2 linked regions of the Oryzias latipes genome follow. The protein of the gene in region 1 purifies or fractionates together with the protein of each later gene. This does not show direct contact. Links are inferred from orthologs where the notes say so. Each region holds a gene or a part of one and is shown in the gene's direction. Other genes may lie near its edges.

The links. Proteins that work in one complex are often made in the same cells at the same time.
Region 2: the proteins of rfc1 (region 1) and rfc3 fractionate together in Homo sapiens (co-fractionation; 4 studies listed by BioGRID and IntAct, with this or other methods). This does not show direct contact. The link is inferred for Oryzias latipes from reciprocal best matches to the Homo sapiens genes RFC1 and RFC3.

Annotation. Positions count from the first base shown.
Region 1 is NC_019859.2:13,023,143-13,028,022, reverse strand, and holds the start of rfc1 (replication factor C subunit 1), read left to right. Parts: upstream 1-1,527; 5' UTR 1,528-1,654; coding exon 1,655-1,657; intron 1,658-2,014; coding exon 2,015-2,131; intron 2,132-2,226; coding exon 2,227-2,302; intron 2,303-3,064; coding exon 3,065-3,178; intron 3,179-3,260; coding exon 3,261-3,535; intron 3,536-3,633; coding exon 3,634-3,708; intron 3,709-4,580; coding exon 4,581-4,658; intron 4,659-4,737; coding exon 4,738-4,880. UniProt on the Homo sapiens protein: Subunit of the replication factor C (RFC) complex which acts during elongation of primed DNA templates by DNA polymerases delta and epsilon, and is necessary for ATP-dependent loading of proliferating cell nuclear antigen (PCNA) onto primed DNA.
Region 2 is NC_019872.2:9,960,251-9,965,276, reverse strand, and holds rfc3 (replication factor C subunit 3), read left to right. Parts: upstream 1-1,959; 5' UTR 1,960-2,072; coding exon 2,073-2,159; intron 2,160-2,684; coding exon 2,685-2,822; intron 2,823-2,935; coding exon 2,936-3,003; intron 3,004-3,115; coding exon 3,116-3,213; intron 3,214-3,689; coding exon 3,690-3,871; intron 3,872-3,952; coding exon 3,953-4,089; intron 4,090-4,167; coding exon 4,168-4,266; intron 4,267-4,345; coding exon 4,346-4,415; intron 4,416-4,504; coding exon 4,505-4,696; 3' UTR 4,697-4,966; downstream 4,967-5,026. UniProt on the Homo sapiens protein: Subunit of the replication factor C (RFC) complex which acts during elongation of primed DNA templates by DNA polymerases delta and epsilon, and is necessary for ATP-dependent loading of proliferating cell nuclear antigen (PCNA) onto primed DNA.

The DNA of each region.
Region 1 (4,880 bases):
ATTATTCTTGCTTTTTACTTTTATTTCTGTCTTTTTTTTCCCTGTGACTAACCAACCACTTTACTGATAATTGTCTAACACACCAGGGTACTGGAAGTTACTCCCACACAGACACGGCCTGCATGCCGCTCACAGCTCCCGTTCTCACGCTCTGCTCTCCGCTTGTTGTTTCTCTCTTTGCAGCGGCTTTGATCCAGCAGGCCACCACAGTGAGGAAGAAGGACATCAGGAAGTTCTTGGACGGCATCTATGTGAGCGAAAGGACCACTGTGGTGGAGTCAGCCAGTGAATAAATGTTCAGATTCTGCTATGACCAATAAAATAACCTTTTTCCAGCTCGATTGATCTCTTGTTGTCTGTGTAATTGTTCTTTGCTTGATTAGAGAAAGCTGTGCATTTAAGGTTTAAGTCATCAAGAAGGTTTTAGCAGAAAACTGGACTCGGCTTTGATCCAAAGTTCCTAAAGACATAAAATGAGAGTATTGAGAAACTCATCAGTGTGACAGTATAAAAGAAGCAGGTGAGGGATTATTTATCAAAATATAAGGACAGCTTTAAATTGAATGATTTTCACAAAAACTTTGGGGGAAAACTGGTTTCCGTCATGCATCATTTACATGGATCAAGTCATTTTAAACATTTTCTGTCTTATTTTACATTAACCTTTGGTTATAAGATGGAGTTGTCTTTGTAAATGTTGGACAGACGGAAATGTGACAAATACATTTTATGGTTAAAATAAATTGTCCAGCTTTCTGTTTTGTGATCTCGACTGTCATCCACTGAAGCAAAGTGGAGCAGTTCCATCATCTGCCCATTTTAGTCCTAATTTAAGGCTGTTTATCTGAAAGTAGCTGAGCTCCGTTTGTTGCCGACATCTAATGAAAGCTTTATTAAAGACAACAGTTGTGATCTGAACTAAAATGTGGTAAAGTTTGGTCAGAGGTATAAAATTAGTCACACATACTGAAGGAATTGTTGAATGTTTTTTGTAAAAGTGTTCAAATTGGCCTTTATCTTTCAAAAAAAAAAAATTATCTGACAATCCTCTGTAAACAGCTAAAAATGTCTTCAATTTAGAGGCCAGCCATGTCAATGAATTGTTTATCTTGCCTCCTAATATTCTGGACATAATTTTTCTATTGTACCGTTTTCAAACTTTATATTTATTCTAGTGTAAAGCTGAATTATAAATACACAATAGAAAGTATACGCAGGCTTATTTGTGAGGAGAGATTTGTATTGACTGGACTGAAAATAAAAGTGAGAAACTGTTTATGAGGCACTTTAAAAGAAAGGGAAAACAAGCTTTACTACACATGAAAATGTCAAAAGCATTTTTACTTTTTTTAAATAAATCTTTAAAGTTAACTTGGTGCAGATCATTTATCAACTAAGATGTAGCTAGAAAACCACTTAAATTATCTTTTTAGCGGCAGAAAGACGTTTATATTCAAATGAGAAGTTTTGTCTAAAATGATTTTAAATGTATGTGTGATGAATTTCTCAAGACGCTGGTTGGATGACGCAGTGACGCAGCCAGCATCCGGTGCGTCATCTCCTAGCGACTGCAGACTTGGCGCCAAGTAGTTGGGAGTTTTTATTATTTTGCTGATAACAAACTGTGAGGTTTCCTTGTGGAATTATCTCCAACATGGTATGTTACACACCGTTATGGTTTCCACCTCACACAGAAAGCGAACGCATGTGAGCAAAGTCTGACATTGAGGAGAAACTGGATGCTAAGCAGATGTTGTCGCGCGCTTCTGCTGTGGGTTAGCTAAAACAGTTTTAAGACAATTGACTTGTTGACCTACATTTTTTATTTTAATATAGGAACAGGTTATTGCACAGCAGCTATAATTTACCGGATGTTTTAATAATTAAATCCGCACATTTGTAGTTTAAATTTAATTAATCCTTGAAGAGATGCAGGGATTTTTTTTTTGCACACTGAAGTACAGATTATTGATTTGTTAAAATAGCCTCAAAGTTCCTTTGCTTCTGCATTCAGGATATAAGGCGGTTCTTTGGACCGACATCAGGGAAACCTGCGGTGCAGAAACCAGCGCCAAACACCAAAGCAGAGGAGAAGAAGAACCTCAACTCCTCTGATGTGAAAAGAACCAAGGTTGATACTCTTGTGTTTTCATTTTTACTTCTACACTAAGTGCTGTTCCTGCACATGTTTGGGATTTTGAGCTTCTCTTGTGTTATCTCATGTAGGTCAAAAGCTCCAAAACAGAGGAGCGACGCAAAGACAGTGAGAAAAAGCGCAAGAAGTATTCTGTCATAGCATCAGGTAGGAAAGACTCTGGATGACCTAATGGGCGTGGCTTAAAGTCACGAGATGACCTCTGTGATTTAACAGCACTGGATGGGGGGCCAACTCCAGGTCTCCCTGTGCTGGTCCCCAGCCCGGATAAAATACAGGGTTGTGTCAGGAAGGGCATCCGGCCTAAAAAAAAGTCTCTGCCAAACCAAATGTGTGACTCAGTGAAAGCTGATTCGCAGCAGCGACCTCTGACAGGATGTGTCAAAAGGTGAACAACGAGTGTAATATGTCTTTGAGTGGTGCAGTGTCTCTCAGCATCACTATATAATAATGTCAAAGAAAAAGTGAGAGGCTGGCTGAGAGGTTCATATGTGATGCAGGAAGCATCAAGCAGAAATAAACATACATAGTTATACCAAACCTACCTACCAAACCACAAGTTCATTAGAAAATAAAAGAAGATTATGCTATTGTCTTGACATTATAATTACTCCTAATCATAAATAAACATAGTTGCACGTATGCATACAGTATGACACACATGACACATTAAATAGGATTATTAAATAATAGTTTAAAATAGCTTTAAAGGCAGAATTTATACAATCACAGCCCTATTATGATTTACTTACCTTTAAAGAAGGTATGAAGTTCCTTCATAAAATCAACATTTTATTTTAGTGTCAAAGGAAATTGTGAATCCTTGACTTAAAACAGCTAAAAGGTAAATATTATTTCAGATCCTATTTTTAAAAAGCTTGAAGGATAAATTCTTGTTGTTTTGTTCAGATTCAGAAGAAGAGGAGAAACCTGCAACAAAGTCTAAGAAATCTTCTAAATCGACGAGCAGCAAAGCAGAGCCTCTTCCTAAAAAAGACCCAGTGCAGTACGTCTCTGAAACAGGTGAGGCCTTTCTTCATCCAACGTCCTCCAGATTCAATAAGCTAAAAAGCCGATTTTCTGACGTCTGTTTTTGTGCTTTTAGACTCGGACAGCGACAACTTTCAGTCGCTGAAGAAAGGAGCCAAACCCAAACAGAACGGTTCTCCTAAAAGCAATAAGGCGGACGCAGAACGTTCTCGCTCAGGATCCAAAGCCTCTCCTGTCACAGGAAAATCTGGGCTAAAGAGTCCCACAACCCCCAAGTCTGTTGCACCACCTCCACCCAAACTAACTCCTACCTCAGTGGCGGATTATTTCGGCGGTGCTGCTATTCATCGCTCAGAAAAGAAGCTGGTAGCCAGCGCCAAGAGAAAAGCTGTGAGTGCTGATGAATCCTCCTCATTCTTCTCCTCCAGCTTTCAGGACTCTCATTTGTTTTACAACAATCCAGCTTCACTATAACTCCTGTCTTCCAGCCAACACAAGACTTTGAGGATCTGATAAGTGATGAGGAAATCGCCCGACAGTTGCAGGTGGAAGAAGAGATGGAGGTGAGCAGATCATCAAACACTCCGGCGTAAAAACAGAAGCAGAAGTTAGTGATTCAGGAATCTGTACACTAAGTTTACTCCTAGAGTTCACTCTAAAGAAAGTGCTCGGATCAAAACACAGACTTCCTCTAGGTTTGAAACTCTATCTTTTCGATTTCCAACACTTCCAATCAAGCTTTATTTATAAAATCCTTTTCATACAAAAGCAGCTGAAAAGGCTCCAAACATCAAATGTGAAACGTCATAGAGCTTCACTCCAAATGATACCACGGGTATAGACTCCAGGCCTCATTAACCAGTGTCCTACTTGTTTTTTCATCCAAGCTGCCGTTGTAGCTTTTAATTGGCAAAACAAACCTGATTCAGGTAACCATGGCAACAGGCATTTCAGGGTTTCTGAACAACAGGTTGCCGGCCCTCGAGGGCTCGAGTCCAACACCTCAGGTGTAGAAGATCCCAATGAGGAAAAGGACTGGAATAAAAAAAAGTGTAAGAAAACAGAACAAATGGAACAGAAAAATGAATAGAAAACATAAATAGCGACTCTGACAAAGACAGAAGACATCTGTCGAAACATGTAAGTTATGTGAAAAAATACAACCGTGTCTGATAGTAGAACATCAACTTTGGTAGAATATAGGGATAGAATTTTAAAAATTGCACAAAAATTGTCAAATTTGAATTGAAAAAAATGTAATTTAAAATAATAGAAGTAAAAAAATAAAAAAAAATTAAAAATTTTAGCTATACGTATGTTTATGTTATTATTAAGATTGTCATTTGTTCTCGGTGTATAAATGCTGAACTGGATCGCTACACTTCTTCTCGACGTAACTTATTCATTTTTTTTTTTCCACTTGTTCTTCATTTAGCTGGAAAAACAAGTCCATGAGGATGAGGAGTTTGCCAGGACGCTCGCCTTGATGGACTCGGAGCCGCAGGCCAAGAAGGTACTGAGAACAATCCCAGAGGAACATCTTCACTTTAGTGGAATCCTTTAATGAGCATTTAAAACTTTTTTTCATTTAGGCTCGTAAAAACGCGGATGAAAAACAAAGCACAACTCCCAAAAAGAGTGTTGGCGATGCTGCTGCAGAGGCGAGCAGCGTGACGAAGGTCAGGCGCAGCACCTCTGAAAACGTGATCAGTCCATCGCCCAGGAAGGTACAAGC
Region 2 (5,026 bases), on another chromosome or scaffold:
AGAAGTATTCAAGTCAATTCTGCATCTTAAAATATGCTGGGGGGGAAATTCTATATAAGGAATTATACAAGGTTTCATTTTCTAGTTTCTCACAGCCGTCTTTAAATAAGTAATTACCCTCATTGTCTTTAAGTGTTTGAAATTTTGTCAGGTCATCTGTTTTGTCATCCTTTCATTGTTCACTTAAAAATATGGGTCTGTCATGTTCAGATTTAATTAATGAGTTTCCACCACAGATATGATCTCCTATATTTTGGGTCCTTCATCCCCCAGTTTCAGACAAAATGACCTAACTGGCATGCATTTTCAAAAAATAAAAGCATTCAGAACATTAGAAACTTGATCCTAATGTGACTTACAAGGAGACACGGAACATTACAAGAAACAAGAAAACATCACTGAAAATAAGCCAAACTAGAGGCTTGAATCCTCACTTTCCATGAATTACTGGAGTTGGAGTTTGTTGTGAATGGGCCACACACATAATATAGATTTGAATGATTAGAAAGTTAAACAATTAAAGAAAAAATTGGAATCAAGCCTTACATTGATTATGGAAATGTAATGTTCAAAAACCTCATTGGATGTTTTGAGGCTCATTCTACAGTTCTTCGACCTGAATTTATCATTATAATGATTGATCTTTGTTAATAAAACTCAAACATGTAATTTAATGCAAGCTACGCTAACACGTTAAGGCATGCATTGCAAAGTACATTCCTGTTGCTTGGAGCCCTATTTACCTCTATTTTGTTGAAGAAGACCTATATTTTCAAACGTCCAAGCAGAAAGGAGAAAAAAAATACGGATTTATGACCGTATATTCTCCAAGCAATTGCTTGCAGTAAGGACATTATGTAAAAAATATTATGAAGACTCTTAGCAAAAGGAATTTCATACCAAAACATGTGAGCCGAGTTATCTTAAACGTGTTTATGGTAGAAACTGAGAAAATCTCAATTTTCTCAACAAACCTTCATGTGTAGTAAATCCAATAAGCCACAAAGTATGTCCTTTTTGCGTTTTTCCTGCAGGACAAAAACATGGAATTAACATTCTGCAACTCTCTGCAAATTGTGGGAAGAAAAAATAAAAATGCCTTCTTAATTACACAATTTACTTTTTCTAATCTGTGTTTCTTTTATGAATTAATGAGACACAGACAGTAGCGGGGAAATGCTGGTTTACTTGGGTCAATATGACCTGCAACCAGCTCCTACCTTCTAAAACTGAGGGTGCTCAGTAACAAGGTGACATTTTATTTCCTATGGATTAACTGAAACAGAACATCAATGGGGGACCTTTCTGTGTGGAGTTTGCATGTTCTCCCCGTGCATGCGTGGGTTTTCTCCGGGGACTCCGGCTTCCTCCCACTGTCCAAAACATGCTTCATAGGTCAATTGGCAACTCTAAATTGTCCCTAGGTGTGAGTGTGAGAGTGAATGGGTGTGTGATTGTGGCAACCCCGTGACCCCAAAAGGGATAAAACAGTAGAAAATGGATTAACTGCTTCACATTCCTCGTTGGGTTTCATTGAATTGTTGTCATAGACATACTTGATTGTCATTTCAAAACAAGAAGTCTCATCCTTCTGAGGTTGTTGTATGCACACACAACGTGTTTGTGTGGGCATTACAGAGGTCAGGCAAAAGAAATGCATGTCCCAGTCAGCTTTCTGGATGCCATAGAACAAAGTTGAATGAAGACTAATAACACGATTTTGTCGGTCTTTAAACTCCATTCTTTTATTTTTTTACCTTAAATATTATTTCTAATTTAAAAATGAATTGGCACATAGATAAATTAGAGTATTTTGTCCTTGTGTTATTGTTTTGTAGCCTAATTATGAGTTGTCTTGGTGAGTTTTGACATAAGATTTAAATAAAATCATTTTTGGACAGTACTGTAGTTTTCCGAGCTGACTCTATTTAGACCCTCATGGTTTGCCGTATCTCGCGAGAAAACAAAACCTCGCGGTTGGTAACTTCCGAGTGGGAAATAATTCGCGGGAGATTGACCTGCTGACGCCTTATTCGTTGTCAAAGCAACATTTACTAGACTTTATTTACAAAATGAGTTTGTGGGTGGACAAATATCGACCGACCTCTCTGGGGAAGCTCGATTATCATAAAGAACAAGCTACTCAGCTGAAAAACCTGGTAGGAAACTTCAAGAAATCTGTTGTTGATTGATGGTTTGGTTAGCTGCTATTTTCCCTCCTCTCCTCGTTTTGTTTATATCACCGTTTTTTTAAAATATTAATTTAATTCCTTATTTCCGCGTTACTTTGTAAATGCATGTTTGGAAAAGTTACTATTCTTGACAATAACCTTTCAGTTACGTTGCAAAGGGTAAACGCATGAATTAAGTCATTGACTTGAATTGTAATTGAGATCAGAGTAACGACGACTGACACGTTATCAGTTACATTTACCCCATCTTTATCTATGCTTTAAATACAACCGCCTTTTAACATACACTGTACAGTAAAATAAAAAAATATATATATAGGGAAAAAAATTAACCAAATCTTTAACCAGAAAACAAAATGAAACAAATCAAAGAAAAAAGCCCAACAAATGCTGGACATTATATGTCCCAAGGGATCATAACCCAGTGTTGTCTAAGAAAAACTGGTACTAAAAAAACACAATCTCAAACTATTTGGTGTAATTTGGCTGCAGGTTCAATGTGGAGACTTTCCCCACTTGTTGGTGTACGGCCCCTCAGGAGCTGGAAAGAAAACCCGCATCATGTGTCTGCTGAGGGAGCTGTACGGAGCCGGGGTGGAGAAGCTCCGCATAGAGCACCACACCATAGTGGTGAGAGGAGGAACCAAGGAGAACAAAAACCTCCAATTACCAGCAATATAGACATTTATATTTGGATGTATTGACTATTAAATATAGTTGCATCTCCTGATTTTTGACTACAGGCCCCATCAAAGAAGAAAATTGAGATCAACACCATTGCCAGCAACTATCACTTGGAGGTCAACCCAAGGTAACTGTTTTTGACCAAAAAATTTCAAAAGTATCTTGTTTGGATTTTTTAACACTTTTTATTCCAGCCTTGTCTTTGAGTTTCTGCTACTAATCTGTTCTGTGTGGTACAGTGATGCAGGAAATCAGGACCGTGTGGTGATCCAGGAGCTAATTAAAACTGTGGCTCAGTCCCAGCAAATCCAGTCAAGCACGCAGCGAGAGTTCAAAGGTGAATCAGACTAACGTAGCCTTGTCTCAGTGGAACCTGGAGATGGAAGCAGGGGTTTGGACTTGTACACAAACTACAATATTTTGCTGCAAAAAGAATATTATTCCTGATGTTTCTTTCTGTTCTAAACATTGTTTGGGGGTTTACTGGATCCACTTATTTAATTCCTAATTTAGCCAAAGATTTAATTCATATATGTAAATATAGCCCTGCTCAACCTTTTTTTTAACTTGTTTTTATTTTTGTGATTTATCAAAATATGTTCTGTTATCTTGTTTTTCAACTGTTGTTTCTTCTTTTTGCCCCTCTGGTCAACTTTTTCTGTGTTTTGATGCTATATATCAATGCTGAGTTTTGTTAATAAAGTTTTGGGTTAAAAATGGGTTAAAAACTAATGCAATGTCCCAAAATATAGTTTTTGTTGTCTTTTGTAACCTAATTTCTTGTTTTAACTAAAAAAAAATCTTTCTCCTTAGTTGTGATACTAACAGAGGTGGACAGACTCACAAAAGATGCCCAGCATGCTTTGCGTCGAACCATGGAGAAGTACATGTCCACCTGTCGTCTCATCCTCTGCTCCACATCCACCTCCAAAGTCATCGGGCCAATCAGAAGTCGCTGTCTGGCTGTGAGAGTTCCTCTGCCGAGCACAGAGGAGGTGAGGAGGAAGTGGTTCAGATAAAAATAAAAAGTTGCCCCCTGTTTTGTCTGCATCTGCAATATGTCCTCCTTTTTCCAGGTTTGCAGTGTTTTAACTTCAGTTTGTAAAAAAGAGGGTCTGAATTTGCCACCTGAGCTGGCCAAACAAATCAGTGAAAAATCCGGCCGCAACCTGCGCAAAGCGCTTTTGATGTGTGAGGCCTGCAGGGTGCAGCAGTAAGTTGTCACCCCATCTGTCTATATTTGAAACAAAAACTAAACATGTTCGCTAAATGGGACTCTTTTAATCTTCAGGTATCCGTTCTCCGCTGATCAGGAAGTCCCAGAGACAGACTGGGAGGTCTACCTGAGGGAGACGGCGAACGCCATCGTCAGCCAGCAGAATCCTCAGAGGTTTGACGTTTTGTTTTTTTAAGGAGATAATCAGACTGTGAGGTTTCAAGTTCTCAATCACCACCTGTTCCTCTTCTAGGCTGTTGGAAGTCCGCGCCCGGCTGTACGAGCTGCTGACTCACTGCATCCCTCCTGAAATCATCATGAAGGTGAGCGCTCCCTGCGTTTCTGCCATCACAAGTGTTAAAATGACCAAAGGTCTGTTCTTATATCAAGCGTTCCTTTAATAATCTAACAGGGCCTGGTGAAGGAGTTGTTGAGTAACTGTGACGGTCAGCTGAAGGCGGAGGTGGCCCACATGGCAGCTTATTATGAACACAGACTCCAGCTGGGCAGCAAAGCTATCTACCACCTGGAGGCTTTTACCGCCAAGTTCATGGCCATCTACAAGAAGTTTATGGAGGACGGTCTGGATGCTATGATGTTTTAGCTTTAAGTCCACTTAAATCTGTCTGAGTTCAGAAGCCATAGCTGCGAAGCTCAGATGAGACAAGACACGCGTTTCCCTGCAGGATTTACAGACAAACGATCCCAGAGGCGGAAACTTGAGCTTCATGCCACAGATTGTTGACAGCATCAGCAGCAGTTGGCAAACGTTTCATTGTTGCTCTTATTCTGGGAAATGAAAGTTTTGTTGTAAAGTTTGGGAAAATGTAACTTGTACTGTCGAAGGTTGACAATAAATGTATTTTTAAAGGGAGGTTAAAGGGTTTGTGATTAAAAAAAAATGAGCACAAAGAACTGTTTAGGTTTTCAAACC